Linked DNA regions of Drosophila melanogaster. The protein of the gene in region 4 interacts with the protein of the main gene of each other region in a biochemical or structural test. Each region holds a gene or a part of one and is shown on either strand. Other genes may lie near its edges.

Region 1 (5,290 bases), on a different chromosome or scaffold from region 4:
CATCCAAGGCAAATACAGTGCCTTCCGAAAATGTATGCCTGGGGGATCAGGACTCAAGCTGTGCGTATATTTATCGGGATTTGTCCGTCATTTTTTAAGGTAGTGACTCATTGGATGGGTCATTGTATAGTAGTTAGTTCAAGATCATCACTTTTCACTTGCAAATAATATGATATCAAATATTATTCATACTTATGAATACATTTTGATAACAATAATTTTAATACACTTGGGCTTGAATCATTTATAAATTCACAAACGAGTTCTGCTGAATAAAACTATTTCTTCCAATGAGTTTGACAGTTAAATACAACATTAAAACAGGTCTTGGCTGAAATTATGCGGCTTTATGTTAAAGCCAAGTTTGCCGGGTTTACCGTTGTATAGCCGACGCTTTTTTTTTTTTGCCGGTCTCAACCGGTTTCATGGAGTTTAGTTTGGTTTTATGAATGACGGTTAGATTGAGAGCTTGGTTTTTGGGTACAATTTAAGTGCATTCGCACCGGGATCCAAACAACTGTGCTAACTGAGCCATAAGCCAGTCATTTGCCATTATTAACATGACACACACACATATCATCGGGCATTCATCATAGGCCATATGATCATATGATGAAGTCAGCCCAGGAACACAGTGACTCATGGAAATTTATATGAATGTTGGCTCATTTTCAACGGAAACAAATAAGATATACAGACAAACGTATCTCATAATTAGCCGAGCTAAAGATCAACAAACTTTGAAGATCAGTCAGTAAAACCCTTGGCAAATGTTTGCTTCTGGGCCAAGTTAGCAGCGTTGGTTGAATCACTGAAACAAATTGGCCACGTAGAAAGCGATGCGATATATTTTAATTAAAAGCTGTTTGCATTCTGCGTGAGCTGTAAAATCGCTAATTAAATTAGGCGACACCAGATGAGGCTGAAAGAAGGTGTGGCGCGGGTGTGGGCATCGCAGTGGGCGTGGGGCTTTCTTATCAAAAAGCGCAGAGGAAAGCAAACGAACGAGAGAAGAAAGCGCAAAGAGGGCGGCAAGAAAATTGGATTATGTGGTTAAGCGGCGGCGTCTAGCAGGAATTTTTCTTCATTTGCAGCGCTCCTCCTCCCCCATCGTTCGCCTGTGCCGTTACAATAAAATTCTTGCGCGAAAAGGCAAAGTGGAACAGGCAGCCGCCAACACACACACCCATACGCTCACTCACACGCACACGAATACGAATACGCGGAGCCGAACGAATGAACGACCGAAGCGGACGAACCAAGGCGAAGGCGAAACAGCAAAATAACCGCAATGCGGCAAATGAAACGGTTATGGAAGAAAACAAGAAAAGGCAGGCGCCGATAAAAGTGACAAGCGCAAGGCGCAAAAAAAAATGAAATGCTGAAAGAAACGGAAAGAGAGAGACGCAGCACAAAACGGAACTGATAACGCAAACGAAATAATTGCACATAGAGAGAGACGAGAAAGTGTGTGAAACGGTTATGCGAGAGAGCGTCGAAACGGTTAAGCTGAGCGCAAGAGCAGGAGAAATGCCTCTAAAGAATTTTTTCACCATTTCCATGGGGCCGTGTCTAACCTCAATTTTTGCGGCCAAGTGTGCGGTAAATAAAAAATACAACCAGAAAGCAAAGAACAAGCGAACAACGAACGGCGGGGCAAAGAGGAGAGGCCAATAATGCCGGGACCGGCGACTTTGTTGTTCATCATCAATATATATTCACACATTTTCCACTGATAAGCAAAATGGAGGGCGCTTTTCTATTATTTGCGGGGATCTTTGAAAAATTGCTGATAAAAGTGCCGATGGCAACGCGTCTATGTAGGAATGCGAGTGTGTGTGTGCATAAATGCTCAACAAATTGGCTAAAATCACATTGATTTATGATCCCAAATGGTGGTGGTGGGTTGGGCAAGCAGGGGGGCTTCGAAAATGAGGTGTTGCTCGAGATGCTGATAAGAGTTTCCACTTTTCCACGCCTGATTGGGTTTCCAGGGGTATTTCTACCCGAACGTCATGGAATTATTATAGGGCGAACCCGATCGCGTCAACATTCCGTGTGCGACAGCCTTGATAAAATAAATAATAATTTTGACGAGTGACGTGACATGTGTGTAAATTCTTGCTATTGGCATTGCTATTTAATTGTGCTGCTTGTTTTCTGTGACCCTAGGGGCCAAAGTTGAACATTTGATTAAGTCAGGTTAAGAACATGAAAATCTTGCAGCTTAAATATACTAGTTTAAGTATAAACTTAATTTCAAATGATTGCATTCACTTTTTCTCAATGCAGTTTTATGGATTTTGATTATGTTTCATTGTGAAAGGGGTATAAACTACCATATTTTCAAGGGGTTGCATGGTGTTCGCAATTTCTTGTTTCTAAATCAACGATATTGGGTTGTTGAAAAAACTGGTTTTTTCTACCCGTGAGGCGATATATTTTTGGGGTGCAAAATGTAAACGAATTTCCCGGGGACAGCTGCTTTTCGACGGGGTGTTTGGTGTGCTGGGATGTGTGTAGCGAGTGTGTGTGTGTGAAAAGCCGTTAAAACCATATAAACAACGTCTAATTGGAAGCGATTCGCTCCTCCCGCTCGCACTAATGGCAATAGCCCTGGGGGTCGCTGTCTGACTTTGATTTTTCGCAAAAACTGTGGAAATTTCAATGGAAAATGATGGCCGCAGGTTGTGTAAACAGAAAATAAAGATGCACATGTTCTCCAGCCCCATAAACTTACCATTTTTGTAGGTGTTTTTTTTTTCTGTTTGTTGCTAGAGTGACGAAGTTTTAATCCGCTGCGGCTACTGCTGCTGCTTGGGTGTTGGTATGTGTGTGAGTGGAATTACGGAACGCGCGGTTAACTTTATATTTTACTAAATTAACACACTGCAAAAGAAGCAAGAAGAGGTTTGTTGGGTATTACTTTCGGGGGGTCAACTGGAGGTGGAAGAGGCTGAGGAGAAAAACTACTGCCAGCTTGGAGAGAAAGAAAAGCGTCCGTCCAAAGCACCGACGCCGACGCTTTTTTTTCTCGCCGTGGCAGTTTCTGAAATTTCTTTAGTGTTGTTGCTTCAGCCGAATTTAATACAAATTTTCGCCTTGCGTTTCTTCTTTATTTTTTTGTGGCTTTCATTCGTTTTTTTTTTCATCTATTGTGCGAAATATGCCAAACACACGCGCGCACACGGCAGAATTCTCGTTTATATAGTAGATATATGGCGGGGAGAGCTAATACATATAAGAGTTGCTCGAATTCGGTTTTTATAAAGATATTTGTTTAATTTTTTGCTCGTTGGTTTTCTTGATTTTTGGCTGGCGCTGAGAAATTGGCTTTTCCGCGAAACGTTCGCAGCTCCTGGTGCTTGGGTGTGGGCTCTTTTCGCTTTTTTTGTATTTTTTTTTTTTTTTTGTTGGCCCAATACTGCTCTCTATATGCAATGTCTGGTCTGTTTGTTCTGACAACTCACGATCCTAATCTGAATTTCCGTCCGCAACGGTCGACGACTCAAAACTTTGTGTTCAAAATAGCGCTGCGTCGCCATATATACGGTTTTATTTTGCCAGCAGCAATAGCAATAACCGCTCTCGCTCTCGCGAGAACGAACCGGGTAAGTTCGCTTTTGCAGCGGCAGCGTCTGCATGTGTTTGTTTCTGTTGCTTATCCACTCACCTTCGTAAAGCGAAAATAAGTTTGATTTCGCCGTTGTAACGGTCGCGCCGGCGCTTTTCGCGAAAATAGGTGTGTACAAAAATTGTATCAACATACTACAGGTAACTAAAGTTATAAATAATAGGAAGCTAGCTTCTGCAAAAATAAACTTATGCATAGGTTTGCCCTTGCAGTAATAGAAAAAAATGAATCAACTATGTATGTACTCACATATGTACATCTATATAAACAAATGTCTTTTTTATTGTCCGTTTATTCTAATTACCGGTTGTGATTTATGTTTATGTAAACAGTTCTTCGATTTTTAAGTTCAAATTTTAATTGACAAAAATATACTTCAAAATGTTGCAAATTTTATTCTTAACGGATAAATGTTAACGTAAATGTTAAACTAACATTCGATGTTAAAAAAAAACGAACTGTAAAGTCAGCTGTTGCAAACATATAGCATTTGCCATTGCATATGATGGGGAATTAACATACACACATACACATGTATATTATACAGCAGACAGAAATTACATACGTATACGTTATTAATAACAATGACGGTAAATTTTTCCATATATTTTTCGATTTTCGACTGAAATTGCTATACTTTTTCGAAGTGATCACCTAAAATAAATCTTCTATTTGCACACCATATTAAAAATAATTAAGAATTTTTGGACAACTTTAGATTTTGGATTTGTGAGTCCGATTAACTAACTTTCTTCGGGTGGATCTTCATTTACGACATCTTTCGACATCTGGCTGGATCTGCGCTGAGTTTCCTGGCTATTACGCGGAGGAGTATCGGACTTCCTTTCGGTCACATTACTGGCGGACTTCCTTTCCGGTCCGGAGGAGAGGAGCATCCGCTTGGTGCTGTACAGATCACCACTGCTGGCTCGCGGATCCCGCTGGCGACCAGCGAAACTCAACGAGGCTCCGTGGGTGGTGATGAAGGATGTGGGCGGTGGGGGCTCGCCCCGCTTGATGGCCTCCTTTCTCTCCTGCTCGCGGCGCTGCTTTAGGGACAGACGGGCCTCCCGCATGCGCCGCTTCACCTCACGCTCCTCGAACTGCTCCTGATCGAAGGGTGTGTCGGCCGCTGGAGGACGCGTCTGATTTATGTTTCGCTTTATGTAGGTCTCCAGCTCCTCGTCGGTCATGTTCTTGGTCTTGATCAGCTCGGTGAAGGCCATCTTGGCCTCCAGCTGCTTCGCCTGGGAGCGTTTCAGGCGATAGAAATCCTCGCGCTCGAACTCCTCCAACTCGCCGCATATATAGTTATAGGTATTTTGCAGGATGGGTATTACCTTGCGGATACAAAGTGATATTTATTGAAGATTATCCATGATAACATATGGATCATATGAATTAATTATAATTACCACATGCTCCAGAGCATTGACCCTCATGTTGGTCTGCAACGAGGCTGCCTCCAGCATTCGCACTTGGTATTCCAGAGAGGCGAACTCCACCAGTGCCTTGAGTGCCTTCGTATAGGAGTCCCTGATTCGGCTCACTTGCATACCGCCACAGCTGAGACCAGCCAGCGGAAAAGCGCCCACGCCCTTCGTCTCCAGCTCCAGGGTGTTCAGCTTGACGCCCACAATTTTGATCTCCGTGCGG
Region 2 (4,442 bases), on a different chromosome or scaffold from region 4:
TACAGGGGCGGAGGGGGTGCGGCAGGAGCGGGCAACTGCTGCTGCTGGTAATCCAAGCCCAAGGGCTGATAACTCGGCCGATAGTTAATCAGCTGAAAGTGTGGCGTCTGCTGCTGAAAGTGAATCGCCGGCGGAGGAGCCGGACTATAGCCGCCCACAATGGGCGTGGCAGCGGCACCATACTCAAAGCGACGAAGACGCGGTGAATCGTAATACAATTGTCTTGGATGGTAAAAGACATGTGGCTGCTGCAACAATGCCGGCGAAACGAAAAGCAACAATTGCAGGAGGAATATTTGCATCTTTAGCAGTCCGTTTAACTTTCCAATTGGCAGATCCATCGCGTTGCACTCTCGTCAAATTTGTGGCAGCATTTTGACAACAACATAGCCATTTATAGTTGGCCACTTTTCGGGGCTTGGCCAAAAGCCGGAAGTCACTTGCCCAGCAGTCAGCGGTGTGTGAAATCGATCGACGCTGCTGCCCCGGATTGTGCAATGCTCCAACGGTCAGCTGCAGGGCTTATATAAGATATGGCAAATAAAATGCGAGAAAATTGTAAAATAGAAAAAACCAAAAAAAAGAGGAAAATCAGCTAGACTGACGGGGATGAGACCTAGAATCAAACTGCTGGCAGCTGGCGGCCTTAGCCATCATCAAGGTCAAAAGCTTGGGCTATTTAGCATACACAAAAATTGTGTATTTTGGCAAACGCATTGTCAACATCTGGAGCTTGGAACTTCCGTTGACCGTTAGAGCCGGCCATATCCAGTTCTGGTTGATCCTGATTGGTGGAACACATATCCTGGCAGCCTGTTGCTTCTTGCAAGGGGTTGAAAGCCTACGATGTGACCTATAAGCATTGGGCTTTTCAACCCCCTGTCATCGTTGAAAAATCACCCTTAGAATTCCTGCCAGCAGATCCTTCGTCGTCGAGCTGCGCAGTTGTTTAGATCATTCGACTTCTGAAGTTGAAACCCACAGCACCGCCAAGAACAATCCACTACCAAAAACCGAATCCTTACCGAATCACTTTTGGATACTACATCGCAAACGAGAGAAAAGGTGAGTGCTTTTGATAGCCATAACACATTTATAATATAGCGACACGAGGTCTGTTCAACTCATCAACATGCATATGTACGGGTACAAACTCCAGATCCACCAAAGTTACATTATAGATACGATTATAATACAAAGATTGTGGCCTCCACGAGAGACTGCTGCAACAAATTTTCAGTGCTTTCGATTTAGTTCAATTCGGTTCACAACAGAGCTAGAAGAGATTGAAGATCGGTGGCCTAGTCCGCCATGTTCACATTGTTCATGCGCATCTTGGCGAAGTCCTCGAATACAATATTATCGTCATCATCCTGGTAATAGCCCTTCACATTGCGGTGCTGCTCGATGGACTTCATTTTCTTCATGGCATTCGAGCGCTTCTTCTCAATGGTTCCTATACCACATCAAAGGAATTACAAACTAGAAGTCAAGTTCAAGTAATCTTCTAAAGCTTACCAGGTGCCGGTTGGAGTAGCTTGAAGGGCACATCCGTCTGCATTTCACCTCCCAGAGTGCCGCAGTTGAGCTTAATGCGCACCGAGTACGAGATGACAATACCACAGGCATCTCCCGTGGACTTGCCCTCCTGCACCATGGTGGATGAAGCCAGGTTGACATCCTCGTCCTTCAAGTGACCATCCAGGGCGATACCTGAGTTCACAATTAAATAATCCATTAGAAACTATCCAGAATCACAACTATCACATCCAAATCCTACCATGGCGATCCTTGTTGTTAGCCGCCAGCGGAATCAAGTAGAAGGTCTTGGTGAGATTGGCGCCCGGAGTGATGGGGCAGCCCTCCTTGGTCTCCAGCTGGGCCACATGCTTGCTGAACTGGGCGTTCACCATGGTGATCTCAGTGTGCTGCACAATGAAGCACTTGATGCTCTTCACGGACTTCTTGGAGTTGTTCGACACCTGGACGGTGGCAGCCGTCTTCTCGCCATGATAGTAGATCTCCCTGTCCAGCGTAACCTCCAGACTGATCTTGCCATTCGAGAAGGTGAATCCCTTGCTGACCAGCGAGCTGGGCAGACGCTGGCCACGATTGAGGGGAGCGTACTGCAGCTTCTTGATCACCAGACTGACCATGCTCCGCTTGTGCTGGCGATCGTCCTCGGAGTCGCCCACAAATGCCCGGATGGTGTACTCGACGCCCAGGGGCTTGCCATTGTCGTCGCCCTCCTGCTGCAGAGTAACGGAGCTGGGCGAATTGGGCGGGAAGTGGAAGGTGAACGGATAGGCGTTGCTGCCCAGTTTGCGGACCAGCTTCTCCTGCATCGGTGTCATCTCCATGTTGGGATTGGTCATGGGCACAATTTGCTCCCGGCACAGGATAAGCTCCTTGGAGAACTTCACTCCCATGACCTCGTCCTCCTCGCGACCATAGCGATAGGTGGTGGCCAGTTGGCCAAAGACTTTCCTGTTCTTTAGATAGTCCGGTTCCACCACAATCACTCCATCGACGGGATCACAGTAGTCGATGTGGTCGATGAAGTCGCGGCGTCCCAGATAAAAGGTGACCTTGCCGTTGGGCGTGGCCTTCTTAAAGACCTTCACGGATACAACCATTGTGGATTAGTGGATTTCTTTGATTCCTGGCAAATGCAACTGGGCAATTCGAGGCTAAGTCGGGCGATGCGCGTTATAGAGTTTTCCGTTCGGCGGAGGAAAATGCGAAACCCAAGTGCCGTACAACCTGCTTATATACCTTTGCCCTGGCCCTGTCCGTGGGTCTTCATTCTGGCCACTAACTGGATTTGCTCGTTATGCACTTGTTTGTTGGCTTGTCCAACACGACAATAAGATAGAACCATAGGAACTAAGGGAAAACTGCAAACAAGCTGCTTCCAGGGGTTGTTCTATTTTCTGCGCAGTTTGCCACTTGCCCGAGCAAATTGGCTAATGTCAAGTATCTTTTTCCGATTTTCCGACCTAGTACGAGGTCATTTGGCCAACTGTTGAATAATTGAGCATGGTAGGTTGGAGCTGGATTAGCATCCGATTTGGTGTTACCGGGTTGTTATCAATCGGCCAGTTTTGTTCTCTCTTAGCCAAACATCAGTGGGCAGCAAGGAGAAACCTTAGATGTTTTTAATTTTGTTATGTATCAAACGTCGATATATTGATTTTAATGTGAGAGGTATAATTGAAATTGGCATTTCTTACAACTAGCTTACCAAAGGTCGCAATTCATTGTAGTTAATGTTAGATAATATTTAAGGTCCAGAGAAATTGGTATTATTTTGAATCTCTCCTTTTTTTTTCTTTGCAGTTGAGATCTAGAACCAAGATGCAGACACAGACACACACCACCACAGACCGACATGGCTATAGCCTGCGCTTTTCGCCTTTCGAGGCTAACTACTTGCTGCTAGCTACAAGGTGAGATCAATCTTAAGCTCTAAAACCAACAATATACTAATAGAAAACCATTTTTTTTCGATACCCAGCCAACTGTACGGTCTTGCTGGAGGTGGTTCCCTCTTTCTGCTGGAACAGAACTCCAACACAAATTCCTCATCCACAGATGGCCAGAGTCTCGGAGAGCTGTGCCGCCTAGAGTGGTCCGATGGATTGTTCGACGTCGCCTGGTGTCCGTATGCCGCCGATATCGCCGCCACTGCCTCCGGAGATGGATCGCTTCAGATCTGGTGCGGATTGGATGGCGAATCGGCGAGCAACCAGCTGACGCCGAAACAGCCGCTGATCTGCCTGCAGGAGCACAAGAACGAGGTGTACAGCCTGGACTGGGGCGAGAAGTGGAACTACCACACGCTGCTCTCGGGCAGCTGGGATTGTACACTGAAATTGTGGGACTGCAACAGACAGAACTCCATCACCACATTTGTGGGCCACAACGATCTGATCTACGGGGCCAAGTTCTCGCCCCTGATCGCCAATCTGTTTGCAAGCGTAAGTACCGATGGACATCTTAACTTATGGAACTCTCTTGACTTTGCAGGTAAACCCCTGATGAGCATCGAGGCGCATGCGAGTGAGGCACTATGCTGCGACTGGTCGCACTTCGATCGCAATGTCCTGGTCACTGGAGGTTCGGACGGTCTGATCCGCGGCTGGGATCTGCGCAAGATGAGGACGCACGTCTTTGAGCTGTACTCTGGAGAATTCGCTGTCCGGCGATTGGCCTGTTCACCGCACTCGGCAGCGGTCTTGGCATCGGCCAATTATGATTTTACCACAAGGTAAGTGGAATGATCTTAGGCTTTCAAAAAACAGGACATTTTTATGGTTAGTAACAACTGTCCACTTTTGTCACCTTTTTAGGATTTGGAATCTGGAGCGTGGTGAGTCCGCCCAGGAGGTCAATGCGCGGCACACGGAGTTCGTGTGCGGATTGGATTGGAATCCCCACAG
Region 3 (5,268 bases), on a different chromosome or scaffold from region 4:
TACAACAAAATGGGTGCCGTTGAGAAAAAATCCAAAGGAGCCGTGTTCCTCAAACCTTCTCCACTTGTTTTTCTTTCGACTTTCAGATGGTGAATGCAATATAGAATCAAATCAAGTGAACGCGAAGTAAGCAAATAAACGATCTGAGTTTTTTTTTGTGTTGGTGTTGTTGTGTTGTGACGAGGAAAGTACGACATTTCGATGATAGTCGCATTGCAATATAAAGTGCAACATAAATGCTATAGAACCGAATGTGAATGTGAGGAGCCATTGAGCTGTGAAATGTGAAAATCGCAAAGAAATCGAGAGAAAACGCACACGTCAATGTAACCACAAAGCTGCCCCAAGAAAACGAAAAGTAAAATATATAAAGAAATTAAAAAATAAACTAGCAAACTGAAAGCGCAAAATTAAAAAAAAAACAACAAATCTCGAACTTTGTTCGAAAGCCAAAGTATCTAACAAAACAATATTTGTACATAAAACACCATCGAATAGTATATATATATATATACATATATATCAGATATATATACAGATGTGCTGGCGAAACTAAAAGGAGGAGAACTCAAGGAAAAGCCAAAGCGATTTTTCCGCACATTTCCACTCGAAAGCGACTCCAGTAAATTCTCAAAATTGCGACCCACGCTTTTCCCAGTTCGGCGGCGTTGAACCACAATCAAAGCTGCTGCACCACCGCCATTTCCGCTGCCATTTCCACCAGCACCACCATAAATAGTAGCAGAAACACCGCTCACAGAATGCCAGTGAAAAAGCAAGGTAAGCGAAAAATTGCACTTTTATTCACTGCCCACCTTTCCCACCTTTCCCTCCTTCTTCTTCTTTTTTTATTTTCTGTTCTACATATCTGTCTTTGGCATTACGTGGAAATCCATTCAATTGAATGGACCTTATGAATGGTGGACAGTGAAAACTGTTTGCCAGTTTTCAGCAATTGAAAAAGTAGTTTAAAACTTAACACAATGGTTTAAGATCACATTTTACATAATTCTATGCATAACAAATTTAGAAAAATAACCTTAACTATTGTGAAATAAAGTTAGAACCTATTAAAAAAGCTATGTCTATGCAAAACTGCATTGATTTGCTGGTGAAAGTTTTAAGCACCATATAGTATATAGAAAGTTGGCATTAGTTTTTCAATTGTAATTTTAGTAGATCATTTAACTTTTACGTGCTGCGCAAAGTTAGCCAGCAAAGCTGCTTCCAATTACACACGAGATGGCACTTTTGGCCAAACAAACAATGTATCCAACTGTGCATTGGAAGCTATGCAACAAAAAAAAAAAAAAAAAATACATAAAAAACCAGCTAAATTAATGCAGACAAAGAATTTTATTTGATTATGTCACATACAAATCATATTTGGGCAACTCAAATGGCCAACAGAAGAGATGAAATGAAATGGTGCGGAAGGGGGAAGGGGGAGGGGGAAAGAGAGGAGCCGCAGCAGACGGAAAATGGGAAAACCGGGGAAAAGCGCTGCCAGCAGCCTCGCAAATGGTCAGTGAAGGTCAACGTCGGCGTTTGACGCGTGCTGAGGACATCAAACTGCGGCCACAGATACAATGTTCATTTAGATACGAGTATGTATAGTTTGGTTTGTGTGCTCTGTATGTGTGTGTGTGTGCGTGTGTTTTGGGACCATAATGCGACTCGATTATAATAATAAATTATGTGTTTAATTTTTTGGCAAACGCGGCACGAATGACAAGCCAGCGACGGTATGGCACTTGACCCCTGACCTCTTCGCATGGGGACATCAAACTATGCGCAGCAACACACAACTTCGTTGCTATTCAGATTTTCAAGTTAAAGCATTTAGGATGGGGAATTTTAGGCACACACCCTTCATGGAAACAAAAAAACAAAAAAAAAAAAGCGTTAATAACTGGCGTCCGACAAGCGGTGAAAAATGTTTAAAAAGCGTCAATCTTTATTGATTTATCGGCGGTAGCAGCCACCAAACTATAGAACCATAATAGAGCTCAAAAGTCTAGCCAGTTGAGTGCGGCACTTGGGCGCGAAGAGAGGTGTCTTCTTGGCTGGTCCTGGTAATGGATTCGGATACGGACTCGGAGCGGGAGAAGAGCAGCGATCCCAACGAGGGACTGCTCAGTAGCGATGACAAGACATTCCACGACGATGATGAACCGGCGGAGGATTCCTCTCCGGCGGACGATGAGGAGGAGCCCGAGGAGGAGGAGTGCCTGCTGCCGCAGAAGAAGGCACAGATTCGCTGCGACCAAGACCAGCCACCTTTGGTGGTCTTGGTACAGCCGTCGGCGGAAGCCATAGAAGTGCGCCAAGAAATCGATGATACCAATCCGGTGGCAGTAGCTGCCAAAGCTAGCGATATGGATGGGGATTCGCAACTGGAGGTGATGGAACACCAAATGGAGACCGTAACCGAACCGGATCCCGAGCCTCCGAAGTGTCCAACATCCCTGCGCGATAGTGTCCGCGAGTCCGTTGAATGCTTCTATTCCGCCCAGGATCTTCTCGAGTACGGACACATGCTGTCCTCCACTTCGATGGTCCGAACACCGGATGTGGAGTCTGGCTACTTTGAGAAGTCCGAGAGCGATGCTTCGCGCGACGAGTGGGAGGGTCCGTCGTCGTCATCCTCGGGCGCAGCCCGTTGTCGCCTTCTCTCCGGCATTTCCGGACTCTCCGTCTCTTCGTCGAGTCGCCACAGTGCCGAGGGTTTGCGCATGGAACTGAGCCGATTTCGCACCATGATCGAGACTCTCGAGCGGGAAAGTCTCGAGAAATCGCAATCGGAGCTGCAGTTGAAGGCCAAGAGCAAGGCGAAGCCAAAGCCCAAGCAGAGATCCCACGTACAGGATGCGGCTGGGGAAAGTGGTTCGGAACAGGGTTCCGAGAGGGGCTTCTGGTCAACGATCTTCGGCCAGGCGGGTCTGGCGATCAGTCAGGATGAGGAGGAGCGCATTGCGGACATACAGAGTAGGCACTAATCCAGTGGGGAAAAATGGGCAGGCAGAATCCCTTGGTCTTTTGGGTTGATTTCATAATAAAACAATCGAAGATCATTTGTACTAACCATATTCTTTTCTCTATATATTTCAGAAGCTCATCGGGCTCTCGAGCTGCTCGAGGACTACCACGCGAGACTTTCGGAGCCGCAGGATCGGGCGCTGCGTATTGCAATCGAACGCGTTATACGCATATTTAAATCTCGCTTGTTTCAAGCGCTGTTAGGTGAGTAATCGATAATGTATCGATTAAATCGATGAAAATATCCTATATGTATATCTTAGACGCTATTCGCGTCGCTCGTAAGTTTTTGCCTTTAAAAATATCTAAATAATTGCCGCTAGATAAGTGCATTTTTGTGAAATACTTTATTATATAGGTCAGTGTGCTAAATAAGTTTTTCACAAGTTCGTTATAAGCAAGAGCCTTAACCAAGCTCATCATCATCGTCTATTGATTCTGAAACTTTAAACGCAAACAAAGTTGCGAACTTTGTGCCAAGATTGTTAGAAAGTAGTTGATGAGCCGGAAAGAAAGATCCTTGAAAAGTAGTTCTTATCTGTGCAGTTGTCTATCGTCCATTGCCTATCGCCTATCGATTTTCTTGTCCCTCCCCTCGCGTTGCAAATTATTTTCACTTGACAAGCAAGCAGTGAGCACAAAGTAGCAACAAAGGGAATTGCAGCAACAGCGACAGCAAAACGATAATATTGCATAGGATTTGGGTCAAATAGACCAAGCAGCGCAGCGCAATGGAAACAGCAAGCGTCCCATAGTAATGCGGCTAATTCAGCTTGTTTTTTTTTTCTTTACCGACTCTGGTTACTCAAAAGGGTCGATAGACGGCCTGATTAGTGCTCCAGTTGCATCATGGAGTGCATTTTGGTGGCATATGGCGAAGGAGCCATTGATTTTCACTAGCAACTTGTTGGTTTCCCTCATATTACCTATAGTCTCAAGCTTAAGATGAACCTAATTATCACTATAACTAAATACTTTCCTATTAAGAAAAGTTAATTTCCCTGCCATTGTTGCCTTATCATTGTATATTTAAGCAGTTTTTTAAGCCGTTCCCATTTATTGAGACATTTTTGCCCAAGATTTGACAGCTTGTTTTTCTCATTTGACAGTTTTGTCTGGATTAGCTCTTAGCTACTTTTGGATTTTTGGCAGCACTGTTTGCAGTACACTTTTTTTTTTGCTCGCCCATCTTTTCTTTTTTTCAGCAACGTATCCGCCTCTCATCTCTCTCTGTCCATATGTCCATCCATTTCGAGACGGGCGGTTGGTTTGCAGTTGTCTGTTTTGTGGGTCTTGCCTGTTGTATAATTTGCAAAAGTTCTGCTCTACCGCCGTGCTCCATCTCATTCTAGTCCCCTATGGCTCTCTCCCGCTCGCTCCGCGTCTCGCTCTGTGACCCCGTCCCTTTCTATTGGACCCCTGGGTGCAAATTGTGTTGCCCGCTGTCAGTGGCAGTTGCATAATCCTTTTCGTTTCGTTTCGCTTGGGTCCTCTCCCCCTACCTCTTTCCATTCTTCCCATTGTTTTGGTTCTTCTTGTCCCTATTCCTCTTGTTCGGCGTATCCCGCTGGTGCTTCCTCTTCTCCCGTTATCGTTACAGTTTCAGTGGCTGCGCTTGGCGTGTCAGAAATGTTAAACGGCTAACAAGCACACACAAACTCAAATGCAAACAAGCCAAACACGTGACACGTTAGAAAACAGGAGCTTTTGTATGGCCAAACACAAGGGTGGACCTTAACTTAAAAACTCGCAGGGTCGCACTTCGACAGAACATGATCAGTCACGTCGCTCTGCTAGTTTAGAAGGAAAGCTAAACTAAATTGAAGAAGAGAGTTTTTAAACACGATGCCAGTACTTGATTTTTCTTATGATAGATATGGGTCACATGTATTACGATAAAAAGAGTTCACAGCCTTGAAATCAACCCACAGTTAAGGTCCACCCAAGGGAATTTGAGGTGGTGTATGCATGTGTGTGCGTGTGAAATAATTAACAAGGTATTAGCCGCATCCCAAACACCCGAAACGTATGTGTGTGTGTGTGTGTTTTGGGTATAGTATCAAACTTGAGGTTAGATTCCAGTCTCTTTCCGTCTCTTTCCCGCTTTTGTTGAACATATTTGCATTGAATCTGTTATGCTGTAATAACACTGAAAACATTTCAACTGCGTTTGAAAGCACTACTACTGTGCAACCGAATAACACTGCGTATGAGTAATATCGTTGGAAA
Region 4 (5,551 bases):
GTTTACGTATCTATAATACCTGATACAATTCTGGGTCAACACAGATTCTAATATATACATGAGTATACACATATACATATATTTGATATATGTATGGTCTCTTACTGTGTATATGCCAACTAATATTAAATACTTTTTTCGCGCGTATAACGATTGCATATTGTAAAGTTAATATATATATTCACACGCTTCACTTATATCTTAAAAGGACATTTATACAACATCAGTATGTACCCCATTTTGTGCCTTTGTTCAGTTACGCAGTAAATATAAATATATGACACTTAAAAATTTTGTAATTGTTATTGCACAATATACATACATCTTACAAATTACTCTTGATATCTACAAGAAAGTTTAAAACATACCTAAATACTTACGAGTTATGATAAATGCTTTTTTTTTAATTTTAAAAAAGTGTTTCACATTCTATATATCGTCCCTCCTAGTCCGAAAAATGGGTTTAGTAAAACATTTCTGAAGGTCTCATCCAAATAGTATATTTAATTCGCGTACATAGCGCGTGTTTATATGATTTAATGAAAAAGTATAATTTGCAACAAGTAATTTCCAAGACCCTGAAATATCCTTGCTAAAAGGGGTGGGGCGTTTTACCATTAAGCTCATCAAAAAAAGCTTCAACGCATGTAACCTGCAAAGGATACATACCTACATATATATGTACGTATATATATAACTGCTTCCCAGATACATTCTCATAATCAGGATTTTCTTTTTTAAGAAATTAACCAAAAACACCTGTCGCTTTTTTTAATTGATTGAAATATGTCAATGAGAGTTAAATATATCTGGTTTAAAACAAAGATAATAAAGTTTTGATCACAAATTTTAAACTTTTCGTAACATTTGACTTGACAATATTATATTATAAGTATGTTATTTCAAAATTGCGAGGGTGCAATTAAGGGTCTACATATACCTTTTCCAGGGAAACACTTCTTTTTCATGGTGATTGGGTCTAGTTTTAAAAAAACACGTACAACAAACTAAAAACTAACAGTACCGCTGTTACCGGATATGGCAAAAAACAAACCTCACGGAGAGGTATAAAACAAGAGAGAACGTGACAGTAGTTCATCGACTATTTAACAACCCGACAGAAATGTGCAAAATAAAAGAATAAATAAAAATAATGAAACAAAAAAACAAAACACTTTGTAAATGTGTGGGCAAAATCGAAATAAAAGATTTCAAGACTGAAAGAAGCAAATTATTTTTCAAAAAAATTGGAGTTACAGTTTTAGGCGGATTAAATGTCTGGTTCTCAAGAAAACAAATTTGCATGCTTTATCCCATGCCTGTCGTCCGTATCAACGCTGTTACCGCTGAAACTATAATAACTGGAAAGTAAAACGAAAAAATAATTTCCATTTTTTATTCCTTTACTCAATACGTAATATAGGTTAATAGTAATGATTGTTGCTGCTCTTGATCAGCTGGCTATCACACTAGCTTCGTTGAAAAGTATGTAACTTGCAGAACGACGCGTTTCCGAGCGTTTAAACTATATATAGTCTTCACCAGGATCAATAGCCGAGTCGAATTTTCATGTCCGTCTATCTGTATGAACTCCACGATCTCAGGAACTATAAAAGCTAGAAAGTTAAGATTGTGCCATGCCCTTTTTAAGTTTTCGTTTATTTTTTTTCAAAAAATTGTTGAAATTGTTTTGCCAATTTTAATCGGTACGCCAGAAAAATGTTTAATATTCTCGTTCATACTTCCACTAGCTGAGTAACAATTATCTGATAGTCGAAAAGCTTTACTATAGCGTTTTCTCTTGTTTTAATTCTGCAATGGATTCGTATTTTTTCAGGGCCATAGTTTAATTTGATATTGAAAACGCCACTGAGTGGTTGATATGCATATCGATGTAAGGCCCGTTTACACTGCACTAACCGCGGAGTTATGGTTTTACATATGTAGATACCTTTGCTATTTTGATGTGCATGGGGAACAGTTAAGTGTAGCTTTGGTAAGGAGTTGACCCCTATGTTTAATAATCGAGTTTATTACATTTTTCGTCTATCGAATGTCATGTCATCTCTAGGCAACAACAAGGTATCAGATTCAACGTTTGAGATAGGATAATACATTTTCAGACATTTTTCAATTTGTGCCCCCGCACATGTTGTTTCTTGCGAAGTATGGTGTTTTTTCGTATGATTTCATGATCACATGAAAAAACTTCAACCACCAAAATCTTCAAAATGGAGGTCGAGTTTTCTAGTTTAAGCAACGTGCTTTAAGAGAACTCACTTGAATTACCAACTCAATAAGAAACCTGCGGCTGTTTAAAATAACATAACCCTTATATTATTACAAACCATTTAAAATTTGAAGAACTATATGTAGATTGCTGGTCTGTTTTGCATCGACTCCACTGAGTAATATAGAATTTTAAAATTGGAATAGCGAGACATTCTTTTAATTTTACCGATATGTGTTTCTATGAAATAAGTTACCTAATCTGTGCTCTGAATACTTCTGAATTACATTGGCGAGCTTTACTTTACGAGCTTCATGCCCGATCTTATACAGAGAAGAATGCAAGTTTATACTATGATGGCCGGGGGATTCTCAAATACATGCAGTACCCCTTTGGATACCATAGAACCAACGCTGTCTGAAACTTTTGAACCAGCTAGTGATTACTTTATAACAAAATAATATTTAGAGAAGGCCCATGGTACCTAAATGGTACAACAATGTATGTATGTTTGTACGTTGTAAGCAATTTTTTGTATAATTTTTGTAAAACTGATTTATTATCTTATATTTAAAAATCGTTTAGAAAACAAGAAATAAAACTCCTGAAAAGTGAAATCTGTAGAGCAGTTGAAGATCTTTAGTCGCAATAGATTTTCTTAAGTGTGCCATCGCGATGGCTGCACCAGCAGCCTGTACGCGTTTTTCGGACAATTACGACATCAAAGAAGAGTTGGGAAAGTAAGTTTAACAAACTCAAGGTTAATAAATTTATTATAATAACCCGTCTATTAACATTTCAGAGGAGCATTCTCAATTGTGAAAAGATGTGTCCAAAAGTCAACTGGCTTTGAATTTGCTGCAAAAATTATCAATACAAAAAAATTAACTGCCAGAGGTAAGGCTTTCTGTGTTCTATGTAGGTTATAAATCACATATGTACGCATTTATGCTATGCACACGCATGTAGGGAAACTAAGTGCTGTTTTTAGGTAATTCGTCGAGTACAGTAAAAGGGTATACTAGATCCTTGATCCTTGGAAAGTATGTATATTCTTGATCAGGATCAATAGCCGAGTCCGTCTCTCCGTATGGTCGTCGAGATCTCAGAAACTATACAAGCTAGAAGGCATACAGATTTTAGAAACAAATACGCAGCGCAAGTTTGTTGACCCATGTTGCCACATGCGCCACGCCCTCACTTTTGAAAAATGTGTTGATATTTTTTCACATTTGTATTGGTCTTGTAAATTTCTATCGATTTGCTCAAAAAAAAGTTTGCCACGCCCATTCTAACGCCCTTTAACTTCTATCGATTTGCTTAAAAGCCGCCAACCGGTCACGTCCACACTTTGGACCAATTTTTAAACTTTTTTCTTATTTTATTCCCCAATATCTATCGTTATCCTAGAAAAATGATGAAATTTCGCGTTCCCATTCACACTAGCTGAGTAACTGGTATCTGATGCCGTTTTTTCAACGGCGATATGGCATATCGTAAGAAATCAGTAGTAAACATTGACTGTCAAAAAGTTTTCCTGTAAAATGTACTTTCTTTTTGCTAAGTACGCTTTTGGAAGGGACCATTCTTTTTGTGTAATATCTTCGTCGTCCCTATCTATTTGCCACACAAGTATCAAATAGTTCTACAGTAATTAAGTTGTATTTCTTGGTGTTGTGCTATTTAGTAATTAATAAATTTTTACTGCCAAGACGTGGCCAAAATAATTTTGGAATAGCAGTATTGGCAAAGTGTGTAATTTACAAAAAATATATTAAATAACTTTTAAGAAGTTTGAGCATGACAGCTGGGACAAATTTTGGGCTTAGAGAGAACCATTTGCTTGCTCGCCAAAAACCTCTTATTAACATATTTGTACACATGCATGTATGCATATAAGAGATGCTTATAATATATATATATATATATTTTTTTTTTTTGCTTTTAGACTTTCAAAAACTGGAACGTGAAGCAAGGATCTGCAGAAAGTTACACCATCCCAACATAGGTATGCAACGTGTATATAAATATAATTTACTTACTTATTCTTTAAAGATACGTTTTTCTGAAGATGTATGATCTACATAAAAGTAGACGAACATGGCCTAATATCACTTTGAACATCTACTATACATAATTTTTATATGTACATTCAATCACGGCTTAGACCCCAGTAGTGTTGATGACTTGCAATGTGATCCTGATAAAGGATGGTTTGACGTCCACGGTAACACAACGAAGAAAAAAATAAAATAGAGTTTAGTAGATATATCAATCCGCATCTGCAAGCAACATTCCATTCCTCGCCCTCCCTACTCTCCAATAACAAATCTTCCAAGTAATTTATAATTATAATAATTATAAAAACTTGCAGAACAGCAAAAACCGAACTCATGCAATAGACTTTCCTCTCACTAAAAGCGTAACCTAACAAAACAGTTATTTACACGGACAGTTCAAATCTAGAAACATCACTTCCTCCAGCGTCACCGACAAAATATATAATATGTTCAAAATGTATTTTATAAACATATATTTTTATAGCCTTTAAGGCTTATAATCATTGTCATCCGTAAAAAAAAAACATTAAATACAAATGTATACAACTAATAAATTGTTAATATGTACAATTTCAGTGCGGCTACATGACAGTATACAGGAGGAGAACTATCACTACCTTGTTTTTGACCTGTAAGCATTAACCTGCATAGACTCCTTACCAAATATTTAAATTGCCTATCCCCAAAAGTGTTTTAAAAATATGAGTTTCTAACAAATGCTTGTAAATGTGGCAATGACTCGACTATTGTTTATTGAGATTCATACTTCATCCTTTTCCCTCCGTTCGTTCATACTATAATATGAATATGAATCAAATTTTAAAGCCGCAATATAATATATATAATATAATATGAATCAAGTTTTAGCCGCAATATATTTTTGTTATATTAGAGATGTGTTTTCTGCTGTCGCAACTTAAATATAACCTAAATTTAAATTTAGAGCTTCAATCGCAAAATTTGACTATGCCTACATACATTTGCAGTGTAACCGGTGGTGAACTTTTTGAAGATATCGTTGCACGCGAATTTTATTCAGAAGCTGATGCATCACATTGTATTCAACAAATATTGGAATCGGTCAATCACTGCCACCAAAATGGTGTGGTGCACCGAGATCTGAAACCAGAGAATTTACTATTAGCTAGTAAGGCTAAGGGTGCAGCAGTGAAACTCGCTGACTTTGGTCTAGCCATTGAAGTTCAAGGCGATCATCAGGCTTGGTTTGGATTTGCCGGCACACCAGGATATCTGTCTCCTG

Evidence for each region.
Region 1: the proteins of CaMKII (region 4) and Cam interact in a test that uses a peptide from one of them, tested with the Drosophila melanogaster proteins (one study listed by BioGRID).
Region 2: of the proteins of CaMKII (region 4) and Arr2, one has a biochemical effect on the other in vitro, tested with the Drosophila melanogaster proteins (one study listed by BioGRID).
Region 3: of the proteins of CaMKII (region 4) and dlg1, one has a biochemical effect on the other in vitro, tested with the Drosophila melanogaster proteins (one study listed by BioGRID).

The regions. Positions count from the first base shown.
Region 1 is NT_033778.4:12,257,639-12,262,928, reverse strand, and holds the start of Cam (calmodulin), read right to left. Parts: upstream 3,532-5,290; 5' UTR 3,471-3,531; intron 2,898-3,470; exon of another isoform or gene 2,890-2,897; 5' UTR 2,744-2,889; coding exon 2,741-2,743; intron 2,654-2,740; exon of another isoform or gene 2,116-2,653; intron 1-2,115. Other genes in the region: Vha36-2 (vacuolar H[+] ATPase 36kD subunit 2), read right to left, coding at 4,378-4,974, 5,050-5,290. UniProt on the Drosophila melanogaster protein: Calmodulin mediates the control of a large number of enzymes, ion channels and other proteins by Ca(2+). Among the enzymes to be stimulated by the calmodulin-Ca(2+) complex are a number of protein kinases and phosphatases.
Region 2 is NT_037436.4:8,646,190-8,650,631, forward strand, and holds Arr2 (arrestin 2), read right to left. Parts: upstream 2,748-4,442; 5' UTR 2,637-2,747; coding exon 1,781-2,636; intron 1,714-1,780; coding exon 1,519-1,713; intron 1,457-1,518; coding exon 1,302-1,456; 3' UTR 1,072-1,301; downstream 1-1,071. Other genes in the region: CG13305 (uncharacterized protein), read right to left, coding at 1-341; Pex7 (peroxin 7), read left to right, coding at 3,358-3,449, 3,518-4,270, 4,353-4,442. UniProt on the Drosophila melanogaster protein: Regulates photoreceptor cell deactivation. Arr1 and Arr2 proteins are mediators of rhodopsin inactivation and are essential for the termination of the phototransduction cascade.
Region 3 is NC_004354.4:11,373,731-11,378,998, forward strand, and holds the start of dlg1 (discs large 1), read left to right. Parts: upstream 1-2,032; 5' UTR 2,033-2,078; coding exon 2,079-2,988; intron 2,989-3,111; coding exon 3,112-3,243; intron 3,244-5,268. UniProt on the Drosophila melanogaster protein: During embryonic development, some isoforms are essential for proper neuronal differentiation and organization. Required for cell polarity; maintenance of apicobasal polarity.
Region 4 is NC_004353.4:1,047,874-1,053,424, reverse strand, and holds the start of CaMKII (Calcium/calmodulin-dependent protein kinase II), read left to right. Parts: upstream 1-2,046; 5' UTR 2,047-2,082; exon of another isoform or gene 2,083-2,731; intron 2,732-2,815; 5' UTR 2,816-2,905; coding exon 2,906-2,970; intron 2,971-3,032; coding exon 3,033-3,127; intron 3,128-4,178; coding exon 4,179-4,238; intron 4,239-4,866; coding exon 4,867-4,921; intron 4,922-5,276; coding exon 5,277-5,551. UniProt on the Drosophila melanogaster protein: A key regulator of plasticity in synaptic physiology and behavior, alterations in its activity produce pleiotrophic effects that involve synaptic transmission and development as well as various aspects of behavior. Directly modulates eag potassium channels.